Pelodiscus sinensis: one gene and its partners. The protein of the gene in region 2 binds, or shares a complex with, the protein of the main gene of each other region. Links are inferred from orthologs where the notes say so. Each region holds a gene or a part of one and is shown on either strand. Other genes may lie near its edges.

What was found.
Region 1: the proteins of RBBP4 (region 2) and PRDM16 are in contact, whole or in part, in a crystal structure (PDB 6BW4), measured with the Homo sapiens proteins. The link is inferred for Pelodiscus sinensis from reciprocal best matches to the Homo sapiens genes RBBP4 and PRDM16. Residues at the interface, in NP_005601.1 of Homo sapiens: Ala39, Leu40, Glu41, Trp42, Pro43, Leu45, His71, Thr72, Ser73, Asp74, Glu126, Asn128, Arg129, Glu179, Tyr181, Asp198, Val229, Glu231, Asp248, Glu275, Asn277, Phe321, Glu395, Asn397; in NP_071397.3 of Homo sapiens: Met1, Arg2, Lys4, Ala5, Arg6, Ala7, Arg8, Lys9, Leu10.
Region 3: the proteins of RBBP4 (region 2) and AEBP2 are in contact, whole or in part, in a cryo-EM structure (PDB 8VMI), measured with the Homo sapiens proteins. The link is inferred for Pelodiscus sinensis from reciprocal best matches to the Homo sapiens genes RBBP4 and AEBP2. Residues at the interface, in NP_005601.1 of Homo sapiens: Ala6, Phe8, Asp9, Asp10, Val12, Glu13, Glu14, Arg15, Val16, Ile17, Asn18, Leu45, His71, Gly106, Gly107, Phe108, Gly109, Glu126, Asn128, Arg129, Glu179, Tyr181, Glu231, Asn277, Lys317, Asp318, Phe321, Thr338, Asp339, Arg340; in NP_001107648.1 of Homo sapiens: Asn378, Lys379, Phe397, Phe398, Asp399, Thr402, Ala405, Ile406, Arg409, His476, Ser478, Pro490, Asn491, Ile492, Tyr493, Arg494, Thr495, Met496, Pro497, Arg500, Lys502, Arg503.
Region 4: the proteins of RBBP4 (region 2) and LIN37 are in contact, whole or in part, in a crystal structure (PDB 7N40), measured with the Homo sapiens proteins. The link is inferred for Pelodiscus sinensis from reciprocal best matches to the Homo sapiens genes RBBP4 and LIN37. Residues at the interface, in NP_005601.1 of Homo sapiens: Thr37, Ala39, Leu40, Glu41, Tyr98, Asp99, Ser100, Glu101, Lys102, Gly103, Glu104, Phe105, Gly106, Lys114, Glu116; in NP_061977.1 of Homo sapiens: Asn112, Thr113, Pro114, Leu115, Tyr116, Pro117, Arg120, Arg124.

The regions. Positions count from the first base shown.
Region 1 is NC_134733.1:20,850,249-20,858,355, forward strand, and holds the start of PRDM16 (histone-lysine N-methyltransferase PRDM16), read left to right. Parts: upstream 1-5,048; 5' UTR 5,049-5,149; coding exon 5,150-5,186; intron 5,187-8,107. UniProt on the Homo sapiens protein: Binds DNA and functions as a transcriptional regulator. Displays histone methyltransferase activity and monomethylates 'Lys-9' of histone H3 (H3K9me1) in vitro.
Region 2 is NC_134735.1:3,390,207-3,397,318, reverse strand, and holds the start of RBBP4 (histone-binding protein RBBP4), read left to right. Parts: upstream 1-3,944; 5' UTR 3,945-3,967; coding exon 3,968-4,103; intron 4,104-4,191; exon of another isoform or gene 4,192-4,319; intron 4,320-5,911; coding exon 5,912-6,059; intron 6,060-7,112. UniProt on the Homo sapiens protein: Core histone-binding subunit that may target chromatin assembly factors, chromatin remodeling factors and histone deacetylases to their histone substrates in a manner that is regulated by nucleosomal DNA.
Region 3 is NC_134711.1:114,664,438-114,672,268, reverse strand, and holds the start of AEBP2 (zinc finger protein AEBP2), read right to left. Parts: upstream 3,123-7,831; 5' UTR 2,933-3,122; coding exon 2,379-2,932; intron 1-2,378. UniProt on the Homo sapiens protein: Acts as an accessory subunit for the core Polycomb repressive complex 2 (PRC2), which mediates histone H3K27 (H3K27me3) trimethylation on chromatin leading to transcriptional repression of the affected target gene.
Region 4 is NC_134734.1:5,191,017-5,198,621, forward strand, and holds the start of LIN37 (protein lin-37 homolog), read left to right. Parts: upstream 1-4,559; 5' UTR 4,560-4,574; coding exon 4,575-4,584; intron 4,585-6,691; coding exon 6,692-6,745; intron 6,746-7,605.

The DNA of each region.
Region 1 (8,107 bases), on a different chromosome or scaffold from region 2:
TAATCTCCCTACAGAAACAATCGGCGTTTGTGCCGAAATCCTCGGGAGGAGACAGCAGCGGCTCCGCCACCCTCTCCTAGCCCTTTTAAGCTGCTTCCCGACTTGAGAAGGGAAAGGCGACCTCCTGTTTTGACAAGCTGCCGGGGGCGCAAAAAAAACCCCCACCCCGAAAGCCGCTGCCCCAATCGGGCTGGCGGGGGGGGGGGGGAGGTCAAGCCAGGATCCTGGCCGCAAAGTGTCGCCTGCAGCGCCGCTTCGAAGTCCAGTGCCGAAAGTCCAGCCCAGTTCGAACCCCTCCAGTAGCCCCCTTCGAGCCCCGGCGCGCGCGCGTGTGGACACTCGCCCCGGCTGGATTCGGACTCGGGTGGAAAGAGGGGTGGCGGCAGAGCCTAAGAAAGTCTTCACGTGGCCATCTCGCCCCGGCTGGTTTCTGGGTGCCTGGCAGACACCTCCCCAGCTTCCTCCTGCCCCCGGTTGTACCGCCTGGGCCAAAAGCGAGTCTCCGAGGCAGAAGGTGCGCTCCTCTCCCCGCCTCCGGGGCTTTCGTTTCTCCCAAAGGCCCGAGTTTCCCGGGGAGGAACGCGAGTCGGATCCTGCCCCGGGGCGCGGGGAATAGCTTTGCCCAAGCCTGAAACCTGCTGCGGGCATGCACCCAGCTTGCCCATGGGGATCCGGGCGAGCGACTGTGGCACCCCCAGCGCTGGGCAGGGATTCTCTGTATCCTGCTCAGCCACTCACCCGCCCAGTCTGCGTCCTCTGAAATCGGTGTAAAAGGGCACCGAGCTCGCCGGGGGAGCGGGGCGTCCGGCTGCGGGGAGAACACACGGTTATTCATTGGGCTAACCTTGCCAGGCCAGGCGGCCACATGTGACTCCCTTCCCCAGCAGACTAGCAAGGAATAGGGGACCACTCCCCCCCCCCCCCCCCACACACAGATCCGTGAAAGCGATACGAATTCAAACAGGTGCAAAACGGGATCAGATGGATTCCTTTGTACAATCCAACACCCGGTCCTGCGTCTGCTCTCCTCTGCCCGGGGAGGTCGGGTTTTTGACAGCCAGCCGCAGAATCGGCATGCAAGAGGGCTACAGAGCTTTCTTCTTTTTTCATAGTTTGGAGCTCGGGATTTGCTACGCCCCAGCTTTGGGTCGTTAGTCCGATTTCTCCCCCCTCCACCCGAGGTCAAGTCTGAAATGCAGCAAAACACGCCGTGCTCTGTGCGGGCGAACACACCAGGGACTAGGGGAAGGCATGCGAGAGCGTACACAAGCAGGCTGCGAGCCGGCTGTACTTGCGCAGCGAATCGAACTATAACCTAGAAGGAGCGCCGTGTAAACGGACATCACGCCTCGATTTTTTTTTATAAGAATGATACACTCGAAATATGTTTGACTTAAAACAAATTGTTCCCTGGAACAAAAGCGATGGGGGGGTCTTGTGACCCAATCCGGAAAGCACACTTCGCATTTTTAACACAATTTTAATAATTTCAGAATGTGTACACGCACTAAACTTGGGGATTAGTTCTTGTTTTTTTAAAAAATTCCTCCCGCAATTCCTCCTTTCACAAATGCTCTTGGATAAATTCGATGTCAGTTTTGTACCTGTTGTGGGGGGTTTTTTTCGGACGGGGAGGGAGAGGGAGGGAAAACTGCACCCCCCGTTTCCACACGGGATATTTCCTTTTTTGTAAATTATTGTCGGTCAGATGGACAGGGGGAGGAGGAAGGGCTGGGGGACCCTGAAGAGAAATCCGTTTGATCTTGGTTACAACATTTAAATAGTGCACGGATCACATTCACTACAGGAGCGTTGTAAATACAAGGACAAGGAAAGAAATCGTTCCCCAGTCAAGCTAAAGGCTACTCCCAGCCTCTTTGCTTCTTAGTTCGCAGCCCACCAGCTCGTTTGCTTTGCAGTTTCATTTCCTGCTTAATTTGTAATTAATAAATAAAATTAATGCTTTCAGAAAACAGGTCGGCGAGTCCCCCGTACTGTCTAGGAATCTGTCCCGAGAAAACCCTCAAGGCCAGGCCAGTCGGGTACAGCGGTTAGGGGAAGGCAGCTGCTGTGTTGTTTCTGGAAGGAACACACCTCTAGGTATCCGGGATGCTACACTTTTGGCAATCGAAAGATTTATGGTTAAGAGTTGCGAAGCCAAGGAACAGGCTTTCCAGTGACACCTTTGTGCAATCGGTGTTAATTGAGGTTCTTGCATTCTAGCCGGCTTTATAGGGAAATAGTATGTGTGTTGGGGGGGGGAGGGGGTATATAAAATCCTTAGGATTCTGCTGTGCTCTCTTCCCAGGTGAAAGTGATCTCTGACCGTTTCGAGTAGATTAAGCTCTTGCTACGCACCTGAGGGTCCCTTCACTCAGCCCGACAGCTGGAGTCTAGCACAGTTGTTAAATGTGTCAGCTAACAGAAGCACGGTCTGCCGTTTGCGGCTCCCTGGATTGAAAAGTTAGCTGGTTCTATTTCATGCATGTGCGTTGTAATGCTCGTCTTGCTAAGGAGTCAGTGCACGATACGCCTTGTAGATTCGACCGCCAGCCAAGAATGACTTGCACGCAGAATTATTATTTTTTTAAAACAACCCCGCGTGCAATTAGCAACCCTATGCGGCGAGAAATTTCATTTAAAATTATTCCGCTGTTCTTCCTCCAATCCTCGTGTCAATTGGGCTGCACGCTTATATCAATATTTGTTCAATCGGATTTTTTTTAAATGCCATTCGGAAAAAAATGGACGGGGGTCTCCCCTCCCCACGGCTGTTTTGCGGACACAATGAATGGCCAGTAAGGTGGAGGAGAAAATAACTACGAGCAGTTAGTTTAACCCAGACTAAACCCAGACATTTAGTTTATTGCCAGCTCATTTTAGGGGCGTGGAAGATACCTAGAGCCTGGCTAGGAAATAGTTCAACCGCTTTGAAACGACAGATCAACAGTGGCAACATTTCAGCGCCCCCCACAATGAGGGTTTCAACCCTTCGGGTCCACACAAGGACTAAATATTGATACATTTGCAAGCGAGCGATCCACAGTGGGAATGTCAGCGCTTTTGGCGACCCAGGCTTGGAAGTTGCCCTATATTTACATTTTTTAAAATGGTCTCCTTTTCCCTCCCCATCTATTACTAAATAAGTAGGGCCCTGCTTCCCTCTGCAATTAAAGCGCGCGTCGAGGAGAGGAAACCCAATAATTAGCCAGACTAATTCCACCCCCCCTTCCACCTGCAGTGCAAAAGTTCAGCTGGCAGAATGGGTTCCAGGAGCAAGCCCGAAGCTCTGGCTAACTTTTCGCTTTGTTTTTGGCTTGCCCTGGAGTGGGAGGCCTCTGGTCGCCGGATCCCTATGTGGCTCGGCACATCCGAGGATTTCTACCCCTTCCCAGTCCGCTTATGTTCCTGAATGTTTATGAAGTCGCTCTCCCTCCATATTAATCTCATTAAATCCTACCTTTCAACCTTCTTCCGTGACCATCTGACCTGGCCACTTGAAGGAAAATAGCGCTTTCTCCGCAGTCAAAGGCAGCCCATCAATCACCGGGCTATTTACTCTTCGCTCCTTTCTTCAAAGAGGGGCTGTCTGAGCTGTCGCTGCCTCCGCTTCCGGGGATCACGGACAACTCCAAGGTCTGGGCAGCGCTCGCTGGGCAGAAGCAGGGTTTTTAATTTTCCCGAGGAGGCGAGCGCTATTGTTACGGGGCGTCCGGGGTCTGGCTCTGCGTTGGGACCTGCAAGGCAAAAGCAGGAGACTGCTCCGAATCAGGGTCTTTGCTCCTCCGCAGACCCCCTTCGGCGGGCAGGGGATGGGGAAAGCAAAGCATCTCTCAGTCCAGGGAGGGACAACCTAGGAACGGGATGGACCAGTCCACACAGAAGGTCGAGATTCCCCCCCCCCCCGCCCCCCAAAGTGTGTGGAGGAGTGGGTGAGAGAAAGAAACGCATAGAAACGATCTGGGATCTTTCTGAAATCCACACTCAGCTACCTGCTAGAGCTTTGAAGCAAAGGCACAAATGGAGATGGGAACAGATGTTTCTCTTTAATACACCCCTGCATTCTAATTCCCAGCCTCCTTTAAAAACACCGGCGAGCTGAGTTTGGTACCGTTTAACCTATTATTTGGTCTTAATTAATTGTCGAAAAAAGAGAGCGGAAACATACAAACCATGCCAAATAATACAGATTAAGTGTGATTGCATCAGGTGCTAAACGCAGCCGCCCTGTGCTAATCACCCAAACACAATTCCAATTCCCCTATTAGCAAGAGCAAGGTTACCTCTCTATTTAACAGGTAACATGCTGGCCCTGTGTAAATGTGTACACTGAATTTAAGAAAGGACGCTGCTAGCCACAAGTGCCACACATACACACACGCCAAACCCGGAAAAGGTATCAAAACGGGGGTTGTTTTCAATGCTTCCTGAAAATGTGCACACCTCAGAATTTAGAAATGGAAATAGTAAAGACAATTCTTCCAACGGTCTTGCAAAAAAAAAAAAAATGCCTCGTGAAAACCATTGCACGACGACGTGGTGCAAATCCCAAATCATGTTTTTAAATAACCACGCAACTACTCCGAATCAAAGGGAGGGGAGAAGAATTGCACACAACTCTTTTTGCGCGTCTAAAGAAAAGTTATAGGAATTTTCTTTAAAAAAAAATCATTTTTAAAAAATGCCTAAAAAAGCATGTTTTAAATACTCGCCATTCGCAAAGCACACCCTCCCCCCATCTCCGTGCCATACCATTGCTATGAAAGAAGAGTAATAATTAATAATAAATAATCACCTCTTTCTAGGATGGGACCTTGATCCTTAAATATTGTCCGGTGGGGAAGGTCGGTGTGCAAAGGGTTAGGCGCGGAGAGGGTTGATTTTTCTTAAAGGGGCAGATCAAGGAAAGGCTGTGATGGTGCTGGGGGGAGGGGGGGGGAGAGATAAGTGATCTGAAGAAGAGGATAGGACCAAAAAAAACCCCCTGATGGTGATGAATACATTGGAAAGTTTTTTTGGCCCTGGCGAGGGTGTCAGATTGAATGCTCTGTGCGCATGTGCGAAGGTGTCCAAACTGACAATGCTCGGGAGATGAAGATAGTGTGTAGCTGCTTCTGGGCTCAAGGAGAAGAAGCCACAAGCCGACAAGATGAGATCCAAGGCGAGGGCGAGAAAGCTGCCCAAAAGTAGGTCCTTTCTTTCCCTTCTTCCGCTTCCAGGGTCCCCCTCCCCCCCGGGGTCCCGCAGGATCTGCGCCGCTGGCGGGCTGGGCGCTGCGAGTCGCTTGGGGGGGGCCGGAGCCCCCTTTTCGTGCCCTTTCTCCTGCCTAGCGCCCAGATGAGAGAGCCCGGCTGTCCACCCCTTTTGGGTGTGTGTGAGCGGCTGGGTCCGGAGACGCACTGTGCGGAGCCGAGCGGCGGCTGGCGGTTTCCTGAGGGCTGGGGGGGGGGGTCTGTCTTGCACCCCAGAAGCGCTTTGCTGGGGTGCACCCCAGAGGAACTGGAGGAGAGCAGAGCTGGTAACGAAAGGGGGGGGGAGAAGCGAAAGTTCGCTGCAAAGTTGACGAAAGGGGATAGCAACTTTTTTTTATTGAGTCGTTCCAAGTCTTGTGAAATAAAATATTCCTGGCTCTTGAAATAGTGGGCGCTAGAGGTCTGCGTTTGGCACCAGCCTTCTGAATCCAGAGAGAGGGAGAGACTTGGTGTTTGTGTGAGAGAGAGACCCCAGCAGTCTAAGGGACAGTTAGTTAGGAGAGAGAGTGAGAGAAGAAGGGAAAAGAATTTGTATCAAAATGGATCCTTTTTTCACCAAGGCTTTGGATTCGCAGACTCCTCCGGGGAAGACATTGACACAGAAAGATTTAGACTCGCTCAGCTAAGGGAGGGGGGCAAGGAAGTCGGGGGGGGGGGGGCTCTAAGGGGGTCTCTTTCTAGAGGTTGTGATTTTGGAATTTCAACGTCTAAGGTTTGCGGCAGATTCTATCCTCACCCCCCCCCCCCTTTTCTCCTGGACTTTTTCTTTCTTACTTTCTGTTTTGCAAAGCTGAATCTTCACACGAGGAGTTGGCTGCCTGTAGAAAAGAGAGTGGTTTTATTCCTACCCCCACCGCTTCCACCTTCTTTGTAGAGTCCAGCTTTAAATACTTGCTTGTGTTTCCGAGCTGGTTCAATATTAAAGTTTGAGTGCAGTAGGGAATTTAAGTGCCTAGTGAATCTGTCAAAAGCTGCGCTTTTTTTTAAAAAAAAGTTTGTTTCATTCCGGCTCTGTGCAAAATATCTGGAGGCTGTAATTTCAAACTCATTCTCTGTGCTCCTTACAATTGTGTTTTAATACTTTTAAAATAGCGGTGTCTCGTTTAAGTAGCAGCCCTTTCACACTGTTTCTTCCAGGACTTATTAATATTTGGACGGTCCAGGAATATGTGGGATCCGATAGGAGCAGCCCCCTTTGCATACACACACATTTTTAACGTAGGTCATGGCAGTGAAGAGGGGAGAAAGCTGTTCCAGGTAAGAGGAGCGAAGTTTGTGTCTAACTGCTGGGGAGGAGGAATTAGAATCTTAAATGACCCTGGGGCTAGGGGAAAAGGGAGAAAACTAACTCGTATTTTAGGTTTATTTTATTTTGTAGTTTAGACTTTTAATTTTCCAAATGGGGCCGGCCGGTAAGTGAAAGAGACACAGACATCTCTTATAGCAAGAGTTGATTTCAAGGGTTGATTTTGTAATTCAGGTGTAGTATTGTGTAGCATCTTTGGTGTGTCTGTGGTTTTTTTTTAAAGTCAAGGGTTTTTTTTCGTGGTTTACCGGGACCAATTCTTGCGTCCACTCAGACAGTGGCTTCTCCCTTCTTCGGTTGGAATTGTTCTTCCCAATTTTGCACAGCACAGCCTGAACTAAGAGTCCGCCGCTCCCTACATGCTTAATAATAAAGCAAATCGCATTTTTCCAGTCGTTTGCTTCCCTTTTAATCCTTGCAATGTGAAGTGGCTTAGCGTAGCCTCTGAAAACTGACACTTCCAAACACTTTTTAATTTTTTTTAAAAGGACACAACTCACATCCGCAAGCCCGAAGGCCAGGCCCAGCCGCTTAACTCTGAGGTTGTATTTTTTTCAATACGCCCCATTAAGACACCCAACCTCCTCCCACAGCTGTGTGCATGTGCGGAATATACGCACCCCTTCCTCGCAGTTTTGCATGTGGCCGCGTGAACACAAAAGCGGCGTACAAAGGCGCGCGGGGCTTACAAAGCGCTTGGAGTGCCGCCTTAGCGAAGCAGTCTTGCACTTAACACTGTGCTTTTCCACCTATGCCTTACAGGCCTCTATTTAAAAAATACCCCGGAAAACACTGGCTATTTATCGTCTTTTAGGTAAGAAGCTGAACATGTTTTTAAAAGGCTTCCTCCCTCCCCGGTGGAGAAGCGAGGGGAGCATAATGGAGTAGTTTTTTATGTTGTGGTGTAGCAGCTGAAACGAGAGTGCGTCTAATGGGGAAGTGCGCCCAGCCCGGCTAGTTAGACGCACAGGATTCTATAGCATGCGCCCAGCTTGCTCTTAGAGAGCAGAGTGCATCTCCAGGACCTAATCTTCCACCCCCAAGCTAGAGGGGCTTCGGGAAGGGAACTAGCCGAGGAAAGCGTTCCAGGGCCCGGCAGCGCCGGGCAGGGGAGCTGGGGGCCCCTCCGCTTGGAACAGGAGACTTCACTTCTGCATCAGGTCTGGTGCCTGAGCGCTGAAGCTGGAAGTGTGGACTTGGGAGGCTGCGCGCTGATTAAAATCAGGTGTTTCGTACAACTCGCGGCCCAGCGGTTTATGGGGCTTGAGCCGAGGGTTTTTAGGGCTCACAGTTCAAAACAGTAGCCCAAAGCGACGCTTTCCATATCCCGGGAGTATTGATTTGCCAAACAGACGATACACACCGATGTGCGGCTCTCTGGCTCGCTCACACACTCGGCTGCTGCTCTTCCCACACAAAGCCCCAGCCGGATCATCCTCAGCACACCTCTGTACGCGCCCTCGCCCAGCTTCCAGCCCGTCCGGGCGTGCTTGCAGCTACTCATACGCCCATCTCTCCTCGGTAAAGCGATACACCCGCATTCGGCGGG
Region 2 (7,112 bases):
TTTGTAATGCGGTAACCAGTTGAGATCCTAATTCAATCCTAAATTGATAGTGTTGAATTTGTAAATGAATTCCAGGTCAGCTGTCTCCCTTTGTATCCGGTTTTTTAAATCCGTTCAAATCCATTACTGACTGTCCAAGGAGGTTAAAATGTATCCCTACAGGTTTATGTGTGTTACCATTCCTGAACTTCATTACAAAGGCAATTTCCCCTCTCTGAATAGTCACATCTCCACGTCAAATACTATGAATAACTAGGTTGACCATACATACTGATTTTTCCGGGACTGTCCTGATTTAAAGGACTCTTTCCTGGTCCCGCATCAAGTAGTGAAATGTCCTGGAAAGCCCTGCTGGAAAGTCCCCCACTACTTGACGGGGACTCAAACGGGAAGAAGTGACTGTGAGTCCATTGCTCCAGGTGCGGCGCAGCATCAACAGCGTGTTCCCAGCTGGGGCGGGCTTTTGGTGGCACGTAGTTTCTGACCACTTCATCACCCATTGCCCCACCACCGCACAGCCCCCTTCTTACTCCATGGGACTGCCTCTGTCAGATGGGGTCCGGGTCCAGCTGTACAGCCTCCTCCTCCACACGTGCAGGCGGTGGCTTGTTACAGCAGCCACTCATGTTGGGAGAGAGAGGGTGGCTGAGTAGGGTTGCCAGGTGTCCAGTTTTGAACTGGACAGTCCAGTATTTGAGCTTTCTGTTCGGGAAACAAGTTGAGAAAATAGAAACGAGAAAATAGAAATGTCCGGTATTTTCTAAATAAGATGTAATGTAGATTGTGATGTCATATCAAGTGTGTCCGGTATCTTTATTGAAACCATCTGGCAACCCTATGGCCGGGTCCAAGGTCTGAGTAGCCGCTCCCGAACTTTAGCACTTTTGAACTGCTGCCTGAGCCCCGGCAGGGGACGCGCAGAATCCTTGGGGCGGGCTGCCGCTCTCTCTCCCCCGCACCCCTCCCCGCCCCGCTGGGGGAATGGCAGTGAGCCTGGTCTGGCGAGGTATGTTGGGGTTTCTTCACACACCCCCATGCTCTGTCAGTGGGAAGCCTGACCTGGTGCTGCAGCCCCGTGGATGCACTGGGATCCCCGCTGCATGTGGGGGGGGACTGAGTTCCTGTTCTGTTCCCCCCTGCAGGGGGAATGACAGCGTGCAGTCTGGAGGCTTTCCCTGCTGCAATGGGGTGCCAAGCCAGATAAGCACCCCCCTCATGCTAAGGCCCCGCACCCAAATCCCCCTCACTCACTCCCCTCCCCCCTCTAAGATCCTGCATTCCTGGCTTGCTCTGACACCCTCCCTTGCTCCTGCACTCTCCCTCCTGGCCAGACACCCTACCCCAAACCCCTTCCTGTACATTCCTTCCTGGCCAGACATCCTCCCTCCTGGCCAGAAACCCTACCCCCAGACTACTCCTGCACCCTCCTTTCTGGTCAGGGACCCTATGCCCAGCCTGTCTCTGCACCCAACCTCCCACCCAGACGTCTCAACCTCTCCCCTTTCTGCACGTACCTCCCAGATTCTGAACCTCATCCCTATCCCACACATTGGCAGCCCTGTCCTGCACACGGAACCCCCTTTTTTTTCCACGCCTGAGCCTAGGCTCACCATGGGCAGGGGCTGCTCAGGCCAACAAGGAGCTGAGCCCTTCACGACGGGGTTGCTGCCGCTAAGCAGCCCCTGTTCACAGTGGCCTGGGCTGTCTGACGTGAACAGGGGCAGCTGGACTCAGCGCAAGCCGGGACCAAGCATTCCTGGCTCGTGCTGGTTGCTACACCTCTGAATTTTAAATGTACTAAGAGTCCGGCAGCTCTTACTACATTTAAAATGCAGAATTGCAGTCTGGGTGGCTCCCAGACCCGGCACGAGCCAGGACTGCTGAGTCTCAGCTTGAGCCAGCTCCTGAAGCTACCCTCAACTACACGATTAGCTTGATAACCGCAATTTAACATCCTTTCCTTGAACCTCGTTCCTCTTGGTCCCATCCCCTCACCCTGTGGGGCTAGGATGCCAGAAGAGTGAGGTGTCTCAGTTAAGGGCCAGCTCAGTGTGGGTTGGGGGTTTTTGGAGGAATTTTTTTGCTTCTGGCTTGTGTGGCCCCCAGCTGATTTTTTTGTGGGTTAGTGGCCCCCCAACCCAAAAAAGGTTCCCCCCCCTGCCATAAATAAAGAAAAAATTGAAACCTTTTGTGTTGGTCATAAATTAATATTTTACTGTATTTAAAATGAAGTTTGATAAACTAACACAAGAAAGTTAAAACGCTTAATCTATTTAACAATTTAAGTCAAACCATTCTCCCTAGCTGCAGCACTAGCAAAACGGCTTGAGAGTAATTACGTAATTCACAGTGAGTTTCCATTAGCAAATGGTGGTCTGCAGAAAGGTTTACACTGAGCCAGGTGGTTCATGGGCCAAAAAATTTGAGAGCCACTGAAATACAGGCAACCCTGGCCTCTTCCCCCGAGTTAATGCAATGCAAGTTGGATTAATGCAATTTCAGTATGGTTGCATGGGAGGGTCCTATGGGGGCCAAACCCATCCCTATTGGCAGAGGACAGTGGGAGGAGTTCTTAGAGGCGTCACACGATACCCTTTACTTCCAGTCATGTGTCCATCTTAACCCTGGAAGTACTACCTCCGGGGGTGGGACTTTATGTAGCAGGTGGGCAGGGACTAAGAGATCAGGGGATGTGGCTAATGAGGCTGGGGGCGTGGCCAATGTGTCCTTTTTTTGGTTCAGAAAATATGATCACCGTATGAATAATCCACTTTCCCCCCCTGGCTTGATTAGCTTCATTAACACAAGTAACTTCTCCCTTATATATACTCCTGCTTTTGTAACTTGCGTTCCAATTCATCTGATGAAGTGGGTTTTACCTACGAAAACTTATGCTCTAATAAATCTGTTAGTCTCTAAAGTGCCACAGGACTCCTCATTGTTTCTGCAGACACAGATTAACACGACGACCCCTCTGATAGTGGTAGTAGTGTTGGAACACTAGGTGGGCTTTACCCTTCGGTCACTTGCTCAGATGAGTACCATAGTACTGGCAGATGGGACACGTCCATGCAATGACACGGGATGACCCCAGCTATTAGGGGAAATGCACTTAATGCAGTGCCAGGCCAGAGCGTTGCAGGGATGCCCATCTGGAAATAGTTTTCCACAGTGGTACCTGCAGGAGGGGGTGCAATGGCTTATCCCACCCCCCAGGCTGACCCCAACTGAGGCACACACAAGGGCTAGAAGTTGATACTCTATAGGCTACGTCTAGACTGGCATGATTTTCCAGAAATGCTTTTAATGGAAAAGTTTTCCAAGTTTTCCGTTAAAAGCATTTTCGGAACAGAGCGTCTAGATTGGCATGGGACGCTTTTCCGCAAAAGCACTTTTTGCGGAAAAGCGTCCGTGCCAATCTAGATGCGCTTTTCCGCAAAAAAGCCCTGATCACCATTTTCGCGATCGGGGCTTTTTTGCGGAAAACAAAGCTGAGCTGTCTACGCTGGCCCTTCTGTGCAAAAGTTTTTCGGAAAAAGACTTTTGCCCGAATGGGAGCAGCATAGTATTTCCGCAAAAGCACTGACAATCTTACATGAGATCGTCGGTGCTTCTGAGGAAATTCAAGCGGCCAGTGTAGACAGCTGGCAAGTTTTTCCGCAAAAGCAGCTGATTTTGCAGAAAAACTTGCCAGTCTAGACACAGCCATAGTGTCTGTATGCAGGTGACCACTGGTTGGTGACTGGCCCTTTAAGAAGACCTGCGCACGAGCCAGGGTCCATGTCCCCCTAGATGCCCTACACTGGAAAATGGCGGCTCCCAGGGGAACTTCAGCCGCTAGCGCCTTCCCCCCTCCCACGTGATCCGGAGAGCGCGCTCACCGCCCCTCTGGACCCGCCCCCCCCGAGCCCGCTCCGGCGCTCGGATTGGCCGCGCGGGCCGGGCAGTGGGCTGTGATTGGCGGCCGATGGCGCGAAGGGCGCGCGGCGCCGGAGCCGCACGCAGGGGGCAGGAAACAATAGAGCGGCGGCTGGCGGGGACGGAGGGAGGCGAGGAGCCGGCTGGCCGCACCGCCTGCACCTTCGCCATGGCGGACAAGGAGGGTAGGCGAGAGCGCGGGGCTGAGGCGCGGGCCCCCGGCCGGCTGGGGGCCCCTCCCCCCTCCGGGGGACGCGCGCGCTGTGCTCCTACCTCAGGCTGTGGAGAACCTGCCGGGGGGAGGGGCTGCCTCAGTGGCGGGGGGAGGGGCCGCGCCCTCGGTCTCTGGGGAGCTGCTCTGAGCCCCCCCCCTTGCTCCCCCTTTCCCCCCGCCGAGACACAGCCCTCCCCGGAAGGGCTGGGGGCGGGGCTCCGCTCCGAGGCTGGGGACGGGGGCGTGTCTCCACCCGCGCGCGTCTCTGTTGGGGGGGGGGGGGGTCAGGCCGCGGCCCCCTCCCGCCTCCCTCGGGCGCGCCGTCCCCGCCAGGGCCTGCTCCAGTGGGGGGGGGTCACCTGGGGGTCTCCAGGAGGTTCCCTTCCGGGGTCCCCCCCCCACTGCGGGGCCGCGCAAGATGCGCTCCCGCTCCGCGCTCCCTGGGGGGCTGCAATGGGCCGCGAGTGCGCTTGGCTCGTGCCCCCCCCCCGCTTCCCTGGGCCGCCCCCTGCTGCTGCGCGCTCTGCCCCGAGGGGAGGCCAGGAGGCTGCCACCTGCGGCCCCCAAACCTCCTCGGTCTGCGTGTTGGGCTCCGATCTCGCTCAGGCTGCTTTGGGGATGTTGAACGGGTCAGCATCCCCCTTGCCCCCGGTTACCGTTAACCTGGAGCAGCCCCCGGCCTGATGCGGGCAGGGACTGTTCCCGCCCAGCGGGGTCTGCCGCAGGTGGGGGACGCTCAAGCCTAGCATGCGACGGGCAGGTCCGACCGGAGCAGCATGGGTGCGCCTCAATCTGGTCCCATTTAAGCGGTTAACTAGTTAAACATCACTTTTAACCAATTAACACATGAATTGGGGTTTTGCATCCTTAATCTGGAGTCTAATCCCATATTTACTTTGGCGTTTTTATGGGATTCCTAGGTCGCTCGAACCTGCGTAGTATTAAAGAGATTTATTTTTTAATGTTCAATGAAACCACTTTTACAGGAAAAAAAAATGCTGCTCTAAATTGTGGAGAGCTTTGCACCTTCTTTAAAGTAACTTTTAGTGAAGGGTGAGTTGGTAGGTGTAGATTCAACTCATCTGTCTCACAAAGAGAGATGGACAGGACTCTATTGGTTGATTTAGGACTAGTAGCCTTAATGGGGCTGTTTCTAGTATGAAGTGAGCCCAGGCATTGCTTCCTTGTGTATTTAATTTGTATTGCTTCCTACAACTATTGGTTCTAGATTAGACTTCTTTATCTGAAGAGAGAGGTGATTGCATGTGCTGCAGGAGTTTTTTAATCTAGTAGTTGGCTTTTTGTGGAAGTATGGTGTATGCATCAGTAGTGTTGCTATCAGATAAGCCAGGGGTGGGGAACCTCATGCACAGGGGCTGCATGCACAGGGAACTGTCCTCTGGCTTGCCTGGATCCAGCCCCTGAGGCTCAGGGCCCCCCTGCTTCATGTTGGGGAGTTTGTGCTAGTGCTTCAGCCCCCCCCCCCCCCCACTGCAGAGCTGGAGCACACAATCTACTAAACTGGGCCCTTTCAAGGCTCTGGTGTGTGAGAGGAGAGGTGGGGAGTCTTTCTCCTTCTCAGTTTGCGGCCACGTCAGGGTGTGTGAAGATTTTGTTTTTGTTCTCACCTGTGTGTGTGGCCCCTGACTGACTTTTTTCTTCTTCTGTGGGTCAATGACCCCCCCCCCACCCAAAAAAGCTTCCCCATGTACATTCATTGTCTTGTTGACCATTTATAAATACTTGTCCATATTTTTGTGCATCTTTAAAAAACTTTAGCAGCCTTTGATGATGCGGTGGAGGAACGTGTGATCAATGAGGAATATAAAATTTGGAAAAAGAACACTCCTTTCCTGTATGATCTGGTAATGACCCATGCTCTGGAGTGGCCCAGCTTGACTGCTCAGTGGCTTCCTGATGTAACAAGGTAAATTTATCCTCTGACTTTTTGAATGATGAAAAAAGTCACTATCGCGTTTCACATTGCATCAAGACTCTGTAGTTGCTGTCTTCCATGACCAGCAATTTGTGCTCTTGCCTTATCCTTAGTGAGTTGAGGACTGTTACGGCACACCATGTTAACCAATATCTCCACTCCTTTTTGTTTAAAAAATGAACTGCTGTTTGGCAGAATATTTTCACCTCTATTTAAAGTACAGCCGGTCCCCTGCTTACTGACAAGTTACGTACCAAACACTTGGTTGTAACTCCATTTGTTTGTAAGTCGGACCCCATTCGTTTAAATGCGGCCGTACTGTTCGTAAGTGTGGATCGTGTTCGTAACTCGAGGACCGGCTGTATAACTGTTCTCTGATCTCTTCCTGTCCATCCTACCCCAGAGACAAACTTAAAAGTAATCACTGTCATCCCCCTAAATTACTGAACCAATTTATTTTCCATCTTCTGCTTGTTCAAAGTGCTAATAAACCTCAAGACTTTACTCCACTAGAAGCTCCTTGGGGGAATATCAGAGATACTATAGATGGGCAAAGAAAACAAGTGAACTTTGATGCTATAAGGACTCCAGTATGAGAGAGGACAGTGGTCTCCAGCCTTTTTAAGCACAAGCTCACTCTTTGAATTTCAGTCCAGGATCTACCTGAAACCCAATTACCCCTGCTTCACCCCTTCTGCAAGGCCTCACCCTCCTCACTCTGTGAAGATGGGGTACAGAAGAGGGGGACAGAGTGACATCAATGCTTCCCTGCCTCTTGTCTCCCCCATTCTGCACAATAAGCAGGAGGCTCCTGGAGCAGCTCAGGGGCTCTGGGCAGGAGCAGCTGGGCAGTGAGGGGGGACAGCTAAAGTGCTGCAGGCACTTGAGAGCCTCACAGCCAAACCCATCAGGATCACTTGTCTGAGGCTCCAAGATTTACCGATAGATCCCAATCTACTGGTTGGTGACCACTGAGATAGGAAATCTCTACACCACAAACAACCTTGCTTCCATATCTCAGAAGGAGAGCAGGGACAATACTGA
Region 3 (7,831 bases), on a different chromosome or scaffold from region 2:
CTAAATCCTAGCTTGCACCAAGTTCTGGACCTACCCCCACTGCAGCTCTGCAGTTTAAATGTAGGAGGAGCCAGGCTGCCTGCATGGCTGGCTCTTATTACATTTAAACGGCAGAGCTGCAGCAGGGCCCCTTACTGACTAACCGGGTACTCGAAACAAATTGTACTGAATACACAATTAGTCAAGTACCCACTTCTTAATATCCTTAACTTGCACCAGGCTAGTTAGCTCGTATCTGTGTTCCAGTATCTACTAGGCCAGGAGATAGTCGAGATAGTCACTCAAACACATGAAGTGGTTTTTACATTAGATTAAAAAAAACACCAAATATTGCTAGACATTGTAGTAAAATTGTGTGGATTGGCAATACTGATTTTTCATATTTTAAAGCCCCAAACTCCCAGATTCTATGCAATTTAAATGAGAATCTCATTTAAAAAGTTTCTAGCATTCCACTTTGAAAAAGGAATGAAAACATGACACCAATACATACTAAAAGCATATGACGCAGAAGGTAAATGCAAAGCACCCAAAATATTGTTTCTTAAATCATCAGGATTTTCAAGTCAATTCTATGATTTGGAGGTGGCTGATTTGAACACTAGAGGTTGTCAATACTCAAATATACTGACATCAATCTCATCTGCTACTTTTCTGCAGTATTTGAACGGACATTTTAAGCTTTTCTTCAACTAAGCTTTTAACATAGTTTGGTTGTCGTCGTGCCCCACGCGCGCACACACACTATCATGTCCTGTTAGGAGTGATAAAAACACAGCACATTATAAACCTAAATAAATAACTTTTCAAATGCTACTAAGAACCTTACTGTTTTGTCATTTGCTCCTCTATATGAACAAATAAACCAGATTTCTCCACTTAAGTAAAATTAAAAACATATTTATGTAAAAATAATAATGGGCAATGATCTATACATGTGTCAAGGACACAAAGCACCACATATAATCAAAGTTACAGAATCATTAAGCCATTCTGAAACTCATTAAGCAGCTCCAGAAGAGAGTTGGACTAGTAAAGTGACTCAAGTAACTAATTTAGCATTTCTTATTCTATTTGCCTATCACTTAGTTTGTGTGGTAGCACTTGACAGTCAATGAGCTGCTAGTTTTATGTTTTTGAACTTAAATCATGCCAAAACAGTATTTTTAAATATTCAGTTCTGCACGCTAAGTTCATTGTTCATTTACAAAAAGGAATTAACTAAAGATTTAGTGTAAAAGATAAATCTATATAGGAATCGAAAAAGTTCATCCTTCTTTGGATTCAGTTACATACATATTTCAAGTCCTGAAAAAATTGTAAAGATCACTACACCAAGAAGAGTTGGTCCACCATACAAATTACCTCACCTACCTTGTCTACTAACTACATGGATTATCAATCTGTGTGGCTTTTAAATGAAGAAAACTAATATTTTACACAGCAAAGATTGGTACACGAGGAGGTTTTTCCACATACCAGATAACAATCTATGCTGATCAAGTAAACTAAAATTTCCCCCCTACAGTTAGACAGGCTGCTTCTTTATGTTCTCTCTGTAATACATGGAGAACACCTTTAGCACTTGATCTTTGAGGTTTAGATCCTGCTGTTTGCATTTTAAACACAAAATACAACTAGAGACACTTGAAAGTATTTTGAAAGAGATATTAGCATCCCAGGAAACAGTAGTTAAACTCTACTATTTAAAGGCTGGGCTTCTTGCACACCAAACTAGGAAGGAACCAAATCGAGTGGCTATCAAAATAAGTTAATGATTTCTATACGGCAAGAAATCTCACCTGACCAGAGATTTTTCCCGAAAAACTTTCAGGAAGAAACAAAGATTTTAAGACCAAATAGATATCTGAAAGTATAGAAGTTGTGGACTTTTCTGCTCACTATCATTAAACTTGGCAAGACTAGAATCATTCAGGAGAGAGCACTAACCATGCAAAAAATCAGCATGCAAATAAAAGTATCGAGACCTCTCTTCCGTCTGCTGGGTCAGTTCAGGAGGAATACACAACCCACCTGGCGGCTCCTAACCCTTACTCTCGGTTCTAGGAAATCCCCACCCATCCCTTCCTGTACTGGCTGCCTACTGCCCCAGACTGGGAGATGGGGCAGGAGTGTGGGTGACGGTGGCTTGGTGTTGCTCCATGTCTCTCTGGGCTAAGAGAGGTGAATTTCGAGGAGCTCTTGTGTGCCGGAGGCCCAGGAGATGGCGTCTCAGGGCCCCTATCCCGTGCGGGATTTCAAGGGTGAATCCTGGCTGAGGGAAGAGCTGGAGGGCCGAGGATCCCAAGCCCCGGCCGCGGAGCAACCGCAGGGCTGTGGCTACCCCCAGCCTGCCGAGGCGCGGGGCCCGCACTGACCTGTCCTCCGAGTCCATCCGGCTCAGGGGTTCCCCGTCCGAGGACATCTCCAGGCTCCCGCGCCGGCCCCCCGAAGTGGCGCTACAGCTGCTGCTGCCGCTGCCGCCCCCTCCGCCCGTGCCGTAGCCTTCGTCCCCGCCGCTGGACACGCTGCTGCTGCTGCTACCGCCGCCGCGGCCCAGCCCGTCCTCCTGGCTGCCCCGCGGGCCCTTGGGCTCCTCCTTGGCGTCGGCCTCGCTGCTGCCGCCGGGGCTGAGCGAGCGGGTCTCGTCGCTGCAGCAGCCGCTGCTGGTGCTGCTGCTCCCCACCAGGCTGCTCGCCTCCTCCTCGCCGCCTTCCTCCTCCTCCTCCTCCTCGTCCTCCCCGTCCCCGGCCTGGCTGGCGCTCTCCGGGCTGGGCTCCGACATGCTCTCGGCCTCGCCGGGCAGCAGCAGCAGCGCCTCGGACTCCGCCGCCGCCGCCGCCCCGGCCGCCTCCTCCTCCTCCTCGCCCGCCGCCGCCTCGCCGGGCAGCAGCCCCTCCGGCTCCGCCATGTCGCTGAGAGCGGCCGCCATGGCGCCGCCGAGCCGCTGCCGCCGCCGCCGCCTGGGTCGCTCGCTCGCTCCGCCGCCGCCTCTCGCCCGCACAATCGCGCAGCAGAAGCGAGCGAGCCGCAGAGGGGAGGGGCCGCCGCACGCGCTACGGAGCCCGCCCGGGGACAAAAAACCGGAGCTGGGAGGGTGAAGCGCCCGCGGCGTCGGTGCGGGGGAGGAATTGAGGACTCGAAGCTGCTTAGGAGCGGGCAGAACCAAACGGGGAGGGGGGGGAAGAGGAGCGAGTGGGCAGAACCAAATGTGGTGGGGGGCGCTGAGGCGGGCAGGGAAGGGAGGGGGAGTGCTGAGTGGACACGAGGCTGGGCGGGAGTCAGGGCTCCAGGCTTCTCTCTGTTGGCTCTTCCAGAGAACGGGCCCTCCCTGCCTTCACCCCTTCCAGGCGCTGTGGGTCAGGCTAGGGGTGCCCCCCCCCACACTTCAATAAAGCTATGTTTGCACTGGTGGGTTCTTGCACAAGAACCGGCAGAGCATCCACACGGCCCGCCCGCTCTTGTGCAAGGCTTACCCTGCGGCATTGGGCTTCTCGCAAGAGCTACACTCTTTTCTAACAAGTGTAAGCCCTCTTGCGCAAGAGGGCAGTGTGGACGCGGACGCGCGGCAGGGTTTTCTTGCGCAAGAGAGCATCCACACTGCCATGGATGCCCTCGCACAAAAGCATGTGGCAGCGTGGACGTGTTCTTGCACCAGAACCCCCCTGTACAGACAGAGCCTATGGGTTTTCATAAGATAAGACTTTCCGTACATCATTGGGCACTTGTGCAAATCCATCCCACTCTTAACGTTGCACGCACCCTGCCCTACCATGTGCATGGGGGGATGTGCCCCTGGACGAGAGCAGTAGCACGCCCCCAAAAGAAGATGGTGCTCTTTCCACAGCACTTAAGGGAGATAGGGCCTGAGGAACCCCAAGTGGGTGTGAGCCCTAGTCTGAGTGAGAGAGCTTTCAACTAGCTAACTTGTAACAGGCCCTAAGGTACTCCACGTTCACGTGAGTCATCTCAGAGGAGATACTGGTTGACATTCCTTGCTGTTGGCAAATATTACAAATCATCTTGCGGAAACTGTGGCAGGTTTGGTCTTTAGTGAATTAAAGGAGGCCCTGTGAACTTGTGATGTACACCCTACCTTTCCCTGATTAGTAAGTGTTTTAAGGGAAACACTGACAAAAAACTTTTTATTCAAATGGAAACCCATTGCTACCTTGGACAGAAATTCAGGGAGAGATCTGAATGATTTACCCATATGAAATATTGTACAGAAAAGGTCAACCATGAGAGCTTACATTTTCCCCAAATCTAGCTGATGTAATTGCCATTGTTAAGGATGTTTTCATAGACACATGCAGTAAGTAACAATTTGGTAAGTGCTTAAATGGATGGAGTGAATGCAGCTTACAAAGCCTGTCAGCACAACGTTAAAGTCCAATGAAGGAGGTTCCCTTCATGGGGAGAAAAGCTTGTATAAGGCTCTTTAAAAATGTGATCATAGCGAGGCAGAGAAAAACTTTAGCATTGAAGAGGGGATGGAGTGATGTGTGAACATGGCTCCCAAGTGCACTCTCATAGATAGTTTCAAGTGCTTAATAGAGTATAAATAGTCCAAGAATTAGGGGTCTGGGAATCAATAGGTTGTAATTTACATTCTCATCAAATCTGAATCTTTTGTACTTAACAGCCTATGTTAGTCTGGAAACTTTTCTACTGTAGATCAAATGTTCTGGACATCAGAGAAACATGATCTCTCTGTGTCTGATCTCCAGTAAGTAGCCAAGCTGTGAGTGTGAGGAAGAGGGAGGATGGATGTAGAGATAAGATGCTCCCATAGTTTTGAGGTATTAAATCTGGTCAAATTTAAAAGGTTTTAGTGACTGAAATGATAAGAGCATCAATTCCAGGAGGTACCAAAACTACCTGAGCCAAGTAGTTGCTATTACTATCTTGTGTTATCTTTCTGAGCATGCTAGGACTCAGAGGGATTTGAGGGTAAGCATACATCATCCATAGGAAGCATTGAGTGAGGAATGCATCAGACAGGAATCCTGGGCTTAGACCTCCTTTGGAATAGAAATAGATACATTTCATCTTCTTGGGCTGTTGGAAATAGGTCTACAAAAGGATGACCCAGCACTTGGAAGATTTGATGGATAACAGAATCCTCGATCATCCACTCACAGCTTGACAAAAAATATCTTCTAGAGCATTCTCTACATCAAAGGGATCCTCCCTGCCCATTTATATAACATGTTTCCAGTTATAACTTGAATGGTCAGTCCATGGACAATTGGTAGGAATGCAAAAGTCTCTGTGAACCACTTTGGGCCCTGCAATATTCATATGTAGTCAGGTATCCTCATGGGTCTGGAGAACTGGAGCCTGATAATGGTCCAGATATGCTCCCTATCTCAGCAGGGACATGTCTATCACTAAGGGGGCAGAAGTGGATAAAAAGGGGGGAAAGATCTTTCACACTCCTAATGATAGACATTGTCATTGAATCAGAGGCTGAATTCAGAGGCATCCATTGCTGCGTGGAGGGTCATCCTGGCTACCAGCTGTTCATCAGCAATCAAAGATTTAAACTCCAGTCTGTTCTCCAGGGAGATGTCAAATCTGAAAATTTAATGTAATTTTAAAAATCAGCACCAGTAACACCTGATAATTAGCAATCCAGAAATACTGGCCAGTAGATGAGTAACTCTTACATCTGAATAAATCTCTGGAAGTTATCTTTCTGTTGCAGTGGGCTTGTTTCACTAACCACCATAACCATTACTAAGTAAGGTAGAGGTGAGTGCAGATACTCAGATCTGACAAATGATACCCAGTACCTCTTAGCTGACTTTTTTAGAAGTCAGAGGTACTGATACAGTTGTTTACCAGATGTGCTTTACTGGCCTTTTGTAATAAGGAGTGACAAACAACCCGGTATGACAGCAAAAAGAATGTCCAAGACCTTGTGTTGTCTCCACCAGTGTTGCAAGAGAATCAGCTACATGTTTGAGCAGATGCTCTTGTAGATGTGTGGAAGCTCTTGTAGATGTGTGGATGAGAAAGTATAGATCGAACCATTGCCTCATCAAGGGATGATGTTAATACAGTGTCTGGCTTTGACTCATTTCCTGTCTGGGGCTGGGAGGACTGCTTCTGTACCTAGAGGAGGAGGTTGATGGTGCAGAAACATAGTATCTTGTTTGTGAAGATCCCAGAGGTTCAAGAAAGGCCATGATTAAATGTTACATGGAACAGCACCTGACACCCAGGGAAAAGAGTATCAGGACTCAGGGCAGATGTCTACTTTTATATCCCTGTATAATCTAGGCGTTTATGAAACTAGGCAATTTCAGACTCATAAGAATAAAGCGAGGGGCCCATTACTGAATATAGAGGGGATCCCTGCTTTGTTGGGAATCTGATGAAGAAAGAGAGCATTCTCTGTCTAAGAGGTAGGGCCTGCTAATTAACAGATTTGTTTGAAAATCTTTGGAAAATTTAAACTATCCATGTATATTTGTGGAAGATACAATGTATTATTTATACAAAACAGAGACAGAGATCCCTGCTGTAAGCGAGAAATGGAATCTGTCCTTAATTATGGAGCTGCTAGCAACACCTCTGTTAGTTCTTCTCGCAGAATTGCCAAGAAAGAGTTATACAACAAAAATGTGAGTAGGCCATCCAGCAGATGGGGCAATTTTGTGTGTGTACATTAGCCAGTAAATCACTATAGTTTCAGAGATTATACTTCAAACTAACTGCCTATGGGAAGTCGTACTCTGCATTTGCTGGATTTAAAGCATTTGTTTTTCAAAGACAAAAAGAAAAGAAGACTTTTCATGCTGCAAAACCAGCATGAAAACATTAAAGTCCAGCTGAACTGTACAATTGTAGAATCACTCAAAAAACCCCTCAGAGTACTTACCGTGTGCCTCATAGTAGTCCAGATTGTGACCTTTTTTGTTTGAAAAGACCTGCTAAATTTTTCAAAACTTTGTGTATGTGTACATTTTGTAAAACCAAAATACTGATGAAAGTACAAAAATCCATTTAAGTGTGTATTTGTTAAAAATTCTCTCTACTTTATAGCCGTTCTGGTGAAAGCCCTTTCCCTCTATAGCCCTCGTAATTTAGGATAGGCTTCTTGCCTCCCACTTCTAAATTATCATTAGAAAATTTCCCTTTCTCTTGACACACTTTCTGTGGCCTACATTTTGTAGAGCCTGAGAAACTTACAATATTTTATTCATTTTCAGAACCCACTTATGAGATAGAAAGTAGGGATGTTAAATATAATTAGCTAATTGAATAGTCAATGGTATTTCCATCGACTGTTCGATTAGTTGATAAGGACTAGCATGACATTCTGCCTTTGAAATGTACAAGAGACACTGCAGGAACTCTTGTACATTTCAGCTGGGCCTCTTGTACTTTTCAAAGTGGACTCCTCCCTGATCCTGAACTCCATGTGGCATTTCAATCTCTGGGGCTCTTGCACATTTCAAAGCGGAAGCGCTGCATGGAGCCCAGGATCAGCGGGGAGTCTGCTTTGAAACCCTCTCTCCCTCTCCCCCCCTCCCGCTGCCTCTTTGTGATAGAAGCAGCAGCTGAGGAAAGCAATTAGTCAACTAGTGTGTCAACTATCCGATAACCTTTTGCTTTTCAGATAGTTGATTAGTCGCTTACATCCCTAGTCCATTGTACAGATGGGGAACTGAGGCACAGAAGCACAAAGATACATGCCCAAGGGAGTATGTGGCAAAATGGGATCCTGAATCCAAGTCTCCCAAGTATTCACCTAGGGCTCTAACCCCTGAACAATTCTTCATTTCTTCTTCTTTCTCTCTATTTTGTGACTGCAATGTTT
Region 4 (7,605 bases), on a different chromosome or scaffold from region 2:
CCGCCCCGGCTGTCGCCTAGCAACGGCCGCCGGGCACGCCGGGTAAAGCCGCCCGGGTCGGGCCGTGGCGTGTCCCATAAGGCACTGCGCCTGGTGGGATTTCCCTCCCCCCTTCGCTCAAAATGGCGGGCCAGGCGTCTGTGGGCGGGTCCGGACTACGCTTCCCGCGAGGCGCAGGCTCCCAAGGTGCCCCGCGCCTCTTTTAGCGCGCTCTGAGGCTGAGGAAATGCTTTGACTACAACTACCGTGAGGCAGTGCGCCAGGGACTCCCATGGGGCAGTGCGCCGCAAGTCTCCGTATCGCATAGCCCATGAGCCGTAGAGCCCTTTGCCCACAGCTCCCGTCGTACTCCTCCCGCTCGAAATAGCCGCATGCGCGACACTTCCCAGGAGGTAAAGCGCGGCCCGCGGACACGAGGCGGACTACAGTACCCAGCGTGCCCTGCCAGATTCTCTGGGCGCTAATTGGATGTCGTCTGATGATTGGCGGCTCCGCTCTCCAGTGAGAGCGGAGCAGAGGGTTGGGGCCATCGTCACAATCGGGCAGTTCCTAGGAGCACCAGCAGCGGGTGCCGGAGGGAGGTGAGAGCCGGGGGCTGTGAGGGGCAAGAGGGGCTGTGGGGGGAGGGGCGGAGTGTGTGAGGGGGTGGGTCATTGCGGGGCGGGGTATGTGAGGGGCAGGAGGGGGTGGGTCATTGCGGGGGGGGTGGGGCGGGGTATGTGAGGGGCAGGAGGGGGTGGGTCATTGCGGGGGGGGTGGGGAGGGGTATGTGAGGGGCAGGAGGGGGTGGGTCATTGCGGGGGGGTGGGGAGGGGTATGTGAGGGGCAGGAGGGGGTGGGTCATTGCGGGGGGGGTGGGGCGGGGTATGTGAGGGGCGGGAGGGGGTGGGTCATTGCGGGGGGGTGGGGAGGGGTATGTGAGGGGCAGGAGGGGGTGGGTCATTGCGGGGGGTGTGGGAGGGGTATGTGAGGGGCAGGAGGGGGTGGGTCATTGAGGGGGGGTGGGGAGGGGTATGTGAGGGGCAGGAGGGGGTGGGTCATTGCGGGGGGGTGGGGCGGGGTATGTGAGGGGCAGGAGGGGGTGGGTCATTGCGGGGGGTGTGGGGAGGGGTATGTGAGGGGCAGGAGGGGGTGGGTCATTGAGGGGGGGTGGGGAGGGGTATGTGAGGGGCAGGAGGGGGTGGGTCATTGCGGGGGGGTGGGGCGGGGTATGTGAGGGGCAGGAGGGGGTGGGTCATTGCGGGGGGGTGGGGCGGGGTATGTGAGGGGCAGGAGGGGGTGGGTCATTGCGGGGGGGGTGGGGAGGGGTATGTGAGGGGCAGGAGGGGGTGGGTCATTGCGGGGGGGTGGGGAGGGGTATGTGAGGGGCAGGAGGGGGTGGGTCATTGCGGGGGGGTGGGGCGGGGTATGTGAGGGGCGGGAGGGGGTGGGTCATTGCGGGGGGGTGGGGAGGGGTATGTGAGGGGCAGGAGGGGGTGGGTCATTGCGGGGGGTGTGGGGAGGGGTATGTGAGGGGCAGGAGGGGGTGGGTCATTGAGGGGGGGTGGGGAGGGGTATGTGAGGGGCAGGAGGGAGTGGGTCATTGCGGGGGGTGTGGGGCGGGGTATGTGAGGGGCAGGAGGGGGTGGGTCATTGCGGGGGGTGTGGGGCGGGGTATGTGAGGGGCAGGAGGGGGTGGGTCATTGGGGGGGGTGGGGAGGGGTATGTGGGGGCAGGAGGGGGTGGGTCATTGCGGGGGGGTGGGGCGGGTATGTGAGGGGCAGGAGGGGGTGGGTCATTGCGGGGGGGTGGGGAGGGGTATGTGAGGGCAGGAGGGGGTGGGTCATTGCGGGGGGGGTGGGGAGGGGTATGTGAGGGGCAGGAGGGGGTGGGTCATTGCGGGGGGGTGGGGCGGGGTATGTGAGGGGCAGGAGGGGGTGGGTCATTGCGGGGGGGGTGGGGAGGGGTATGTAAGGGGCAGGAGGGGGTGGGTCATTGCGGGGGGGGTGGGGAGGGGTATGTGAGGGGCAGGAGGGGGTGGGTCATTGCGGAGGGGTGGAGCGGGGTATGTGAGGGGCAGGAGGGGGTGGGTCATTGAGGGGGGGTGGGGCGGGGTATGTGAGGGGCAGGAGGGAGTGGGTCATTGCGGGGGGGGGTGGGGAGGGGTATGTGAGGGGCAGGAGGGGGTGGGTCATTGTGGGGGGGTGGGGCGGGGTATGTGAGGGGCAGGAGGGGGTGGGTCATTGCGGGGGGGGTGGGGCGGGGTATGTGAGGGGCAGGAGGGGGTGGGTCATTGCGGGGGGGGTGGGGAGGGGTATGTGAGGGGCAGGAGGGGGTGGGTCATTGCGGGGGGTGGGGAGGGGTATGTGAGGGGCAGGAGGGGGTGGGTCATTGCGGGGGGGTGGGGCGGGGTATGTGAGGGGCGGGAGGGGGTGGGTCATTGCGGGGGGGTGGGGAGGGGTATGTGAGGGGCAGGAGGGGGTGGGTCATTGCGGGGGGTGTGGGGAGGGGTATGTGAGGGGCAGGAGGGGGTGGGTCATTGAGGGGGGGTGGGGAGGGGTATGTGAGGGGCAGGAGGGGGTGGGTCATTGCGGGGGGGTGGGGCGGGGTATGTGAGGGGCAGGAGGGGGTGGGTCATTGCGGGGGGGTGGGGCGGGGTATGTGAGGGGCAGGAGGGGGTGGGTCATTGCGGGGGGGGTGGGGAGGGGTATGTGAGGGGCAGGAGGGGGTGGGTCATTGCGGGGGGGTGGGGAGGGGTATGTGAGGGGCGGGAGGGGGTGGGTCATTGCGGGGGGGTGGGGCGGGGTATGTGAGGGGCGGGAGGGGGTGGGTCATTGCGGGGGGGTGGGGAGGGGTATGTGAGGGGCAGGAGGGGGTGGGTCATTGCGGGGGTGTGGGGAGGGGTATGTGAGGGGCAGGAGGGGGTGGGTCATTGAGGGGGGGTGGGAGGGGTATGTGAGGGGCAGGAGGGAGTGGGTCATTGCGGGGGGTGTGGGGCGGGGTATGTGAGGGGCAGGAGGGGGTGGGTCATTGCGGGGGGTGTGGGGCGGGGTATGTGAGGGGCAGGAGGGGGTGGGTCATTGGGGGGGGTGGGGAGGGGTATGTGGGGGCAGGAGGGGGTGGGTCATTGCGGGGGGGTGGGGCGGGGTATGTGAGGGGCAGGAGGGGGTGGGTCATTGCGGGGGGGTGGGGAGGGGTATGTGAGGGGCAGGAGGGGGTGGGTCATTGCGGGGGGGGTGGGGAGGGGTATGTGAGGGGCAGGAGGGGGTGGGTCATTGCGGGGGGGTGGGGCGGGGTATGTGAGGGGCAGGAGGGGGTGGGTCATTGCGGGGGGGGTGGGGAGGGGTATGTAAGGGGCAGGAGGGGGTGGGTCATTGCGGGGGGGGGTGGGGAGGGGTATGTGAGGGGCAGGAGGGGGTGGGTCATTGCGGAGGGGTGGAGCGGGTATGTGAGGGGCAGGAGGGGGTGGGTCATTGAGGGGGGGTGGGGCGGGGTATGTGAGGGGCAGGAGGGAGTGGGTCATTGCGGGGGGGGGTGGGGAGGGGTATGTGAGGGGCAGGAGGGGGTGGGTCATTGAGGGGGGTGGGGAGGGGTATGTGAGGGGCAGGAGGGGGTGGGTCATTGCGGGGGGGTGGGGCGGGGTATGTGAGGGGCAGGAGGGAGTGGGTCATTGCGGGGGGTGTGGGGCGGGGTATGTGAGGGGCAGGAGGGGGTGGGTCATTGAGGGGGGGTGGGGAGGGGTATGTGGGGGCAGGAGGGGGTGGGTCATTGCGGGGGGGGTGGGGCGGGGTATGTGAGGGGCAGGAGGGGGTGGGTCATTGCGGAGGGGTGGGGCGGGGTATGTGAGGGGCAGGAGGGTGGGTCATTGCGGGGGGGGTGGGGAGGGGTATGTGAGGGGCAGGAGGGGGTGGGTCATTGCGGAGGGGTGGAGCGGGGGTATGTGAGGGGCAGGAGGGGGTGGGTCATTGAGGGGGGGTGGGGCGGGGTATGTGAGGGGCAGGAGGGAGTGGGTCATTGTGGGGGGGGTGGGGCGGGGTATGTGAGGGGCAGGAGGGAGTGGTCATTGCGGGGGGGGGTGGGGAGGGGCATGTGAGGGGCAGGAGGGGGTGGGTCATTGCGGAGGGGTGGAGCGGGGTATGTGAGGGGCAGGAGGGGGTGGGTCATTGCGGAGGGGTGGAGCGGGGTATGTGAGGGGCAGGAGGGGGTGGGTCATTGCTGGGGGGTGGGGCGGGGTATGTGAGGGGCAGGAGGGGGTGGGTCATTGCGGGGGGGTGGGGCGGGGTATGTGAGGGGCAGGAGGGGGTGGGTCATTGCGGGGGGGTGGGGCGGGGTATGTGAGGGGCAGGAGGGGGTGGGTCATTGCGGGGGGGTGGGGCGGGGTATGTGAGGGGCAGGAGGGGGTGGGTCATTGCGGGGAGGGGCGGGGTATGTGAGGGGCAGGAGGGGGTGGGTCATTGCGGGGAGGGGGCGGGGTATGTGAGAGGCAGGAGGGGGTGGGTCATTGCAGCACTGTCCCCCACTGCAAGCTTGGCCAGTTCTGGCTCTGCTGTTCCTTTTGGTAGCTGGCTCACGTTCCCCAAGGAAATGTGCCCCAAATGAAAAAAGGTAGTGGTGCCAACTGCAAGGAGCCAGAAGCCCTGAAATCCTGACGATTGTCCAGGGTTTGAGCAGTCCTGAGGCAGAAAAGCATCTGCAAGATCCAGCCCCCTTCCCTCCCACTCTGTTTGGCTTTGGGCTTGCACCTTTCCCTGAGGTTTTGTCCACTTCAGTGCATCTGCTGGAGAACTTGGCTTACTCTGCACTTGGCCCATTTCAGTTTCTCTGTGTGGCTTTGCCCAGCGGCTAGAAAAACAGGCCAAAGAAAAGCTTTGCCCAGTGGCGGGTTGGGCGGTCAGTCCATCCTTGCTGCTGTTCCTCAGGTGTTGAGCACACCAGGCTGGCTCTGACCTATCTGGGGCTTCTGAGGGCCAATGAAGTTTGTCGTTTTTGAAAAATCTGGCAACTGGATTCATCATGAAAGGGTCAGGACCAGTGTTCCCTCCAATGTTTTATGTCTGTGTGTGGAATTACTTTTGTTATATGCACCATATGGAGGAGACAATTATGGCACACACTCACAGGTCACGCCCACACTTGGCCCATACCGTCCCTGGGCAGAACCCACTCCAGTGTGACAGCCCTTTATCTGCAAGTCCTCTCTCTCCCTGGGGTCTGCCCCTCTGTCTCCTGGGACAGTGATTCTAGAGGCCTTCAGCAGACCTGTCTCTGCTGTAGGCCCCCAGGGCCTCCACTCCCAAAGGGAATAGTTCAGCCCTGTTCTCCAGACCAAAGCAACTCTCAGTGTAAAACAGGAGGGTTTATTGAACACAACAAAGGGACCCTCAGGCCTGTAGGCCTGGCCCCTCTCAGCCCAGCATGTCTGAGTCTCCCCTGCAGCTGAGTGGGCTCTGCCTAAACTCTCCCTTTCCAGTTCAGAAGCTCCCTTCTTCCAGCTGAGTCCCCTCCGCAGCCTTTGTCTTCAGTCCAGAAAAATAGGGTTGCCTGGGCCCCTCTGCTCTCTTCTCCATTCTTTATTCTCTCTCCCCCCAGCTCCCCACTCCCCACCCCGCTGGAACAAGCTGAGCAGGTCACCCAGGTCTTGTTTCTGCAACCCATTATCCTCCCACTGGCCAGACCTGGCTCTGCCCTCCGAGCTGGGCCTGCCAGTCACTGGGGTCTCCTGTACTGTCCCCTGTAACAACAAACTCCCTCTTCTCCCCTTGTTAAACCAGTAACACCCAGGGACGCTGAGTGCCTCCTCTGTGCGTGCAACCTCTTTGCACTTCCCCACTCAGTCACACAAGTCATTCTACACAGGGACAGTGTGTGGCAGTGATAAGGCTGAGGAGGTGTAATTGGGGGCTTTGGGCTGGGGCAGGTAGTTGGGGTACAGGAGGGGGTGAAGTCTCCAGCGAGGATGTGGGCTCTGGAGTGGGCTTGGGAATGAGGAATTTGGGGAGGGGCTGAGGCCTGGGCTTGGAGTGCAGGAGAGGGTACAGGCTCCGGTCTGGGGGTGGGGCCAGGAATGAGAGATTTGGGGTCCAGGTGGTAGTCTGGGTTGGGAGGGGTCAGGTGGGGGGCTGGGGCTTGGGCTTACCTGGGTGGTTCCTGGCCTGTGGTGCTAAGGCAGGCCTGGTGCATGCCTCTTGGGGCACCCCTCTGGGCCCCAGAAGCAGCCAGCATGTCCAGCTCCAGGGGATGGGAGGGGCATGAGGCTCCACTGTGCACCATGTGCACTGCTCTCACCCCTGTGCACCACAAGAACCAGCCAGTGGGAATGCGCAGCTGGTGTAGAGCCTCCCCCCGGGACCTGCTACTTACTGCTTCCCTGCCAGCCCAGCACAGAACTGCCCTGGCTGCAGCAGCTCTGGGCTGGGGCTGCGGGAGGGTCACCTCTCCCCCGACTGTGGCAGCTTCGGGGCTGGGGAGAGGCATCTCTCTCCACTGCAGCCCTGAGCCCCCTGGTGGGGCTTAACAGGAGGTTGTGGAGCTTAGAGGGAGGTTAGATCAGGAGACCAGGGTTTTATTGCCCCCTCCTTGCCCCCTGAGCCAAGATAGTACCCAGGAGTCCTGACTCCCAGTTTCCCCCAGCTATAACCCATCAGCCGCCCACCCTGCTCTCCATGCCTGTGTCTCTGTAGCTCGCTCTCTGATGCCCGACCTTTCTCCACAGGGTTCCTGGCTCCTGTCACCATGCTGCCTACGAAGGTGGAAACCGAGAAGCAGGGTGGGTTCTATACCCCTGTGGGTCTGCCTGGAGAACACTGGTGATACCAGATGGCAGGGCGGGCACCCCCCAGCCATCTATGCTGAGATTCCAGCTTCCCCCCCAGCCACGCCCTGAAAGACAATCCCACCCCACAGCTACACTATGCCCAGTGGCTGATTCATTCTAAGACAGCCACAGAGCCTGTGCCTTGTAGGGCAGGGTGATCATGTGGGTGGTGTTGGGGGTTGGGTGCTGGTCCAGTCACGGTCTGTCCCCACTTACCCTGTAACCCGGGTATCTTTGCTCCCCATGCAGCCTGGGATGTCCATAGCTAGCCTACAGGTCACACCGCGAGTGTGTGCTAGGCAGCCCTGGCTCAGCAGCCTGTCTGCAGCCCCACCAGCAAGCTGACCCCAATGCATTCCCCATCCCTATTTCCCCCGGAGACTTCTCTGCCACATTGTTACCAGATTTGCCCAATACTTTGGGGTATGCTCATTTATCAGGGTTACCCTTATGGGACTGGGGGAAAGTTGACAGTTCTATCAGTGTGCTCTTGGTGCTTACTTGGGCTCTCATATGAAGCTGAATTCTCCCTGCTGCCAATTCCCCCTCCCACTGGAGCTCTCCTGCAGGAACTAGGTTCCTCAGGATGGGGTTCTTCCCACCTTAGCAACACACACAGACACTCACACCCACTAACAGAGCACGTCTGAGAGGACTGGGTACTCAGCACTCACAAGCTGACCCCTTCATATGTCCCTGGACTCAGCTGGCTGGGTTTCACAGCAATGCCACACTGCACCCTCCTGTGCCTTTGGACTCCGTGGGCTGGATTAAACAGTACTTTAAGCTGCCATCCTCATAAGCCCCCAGGT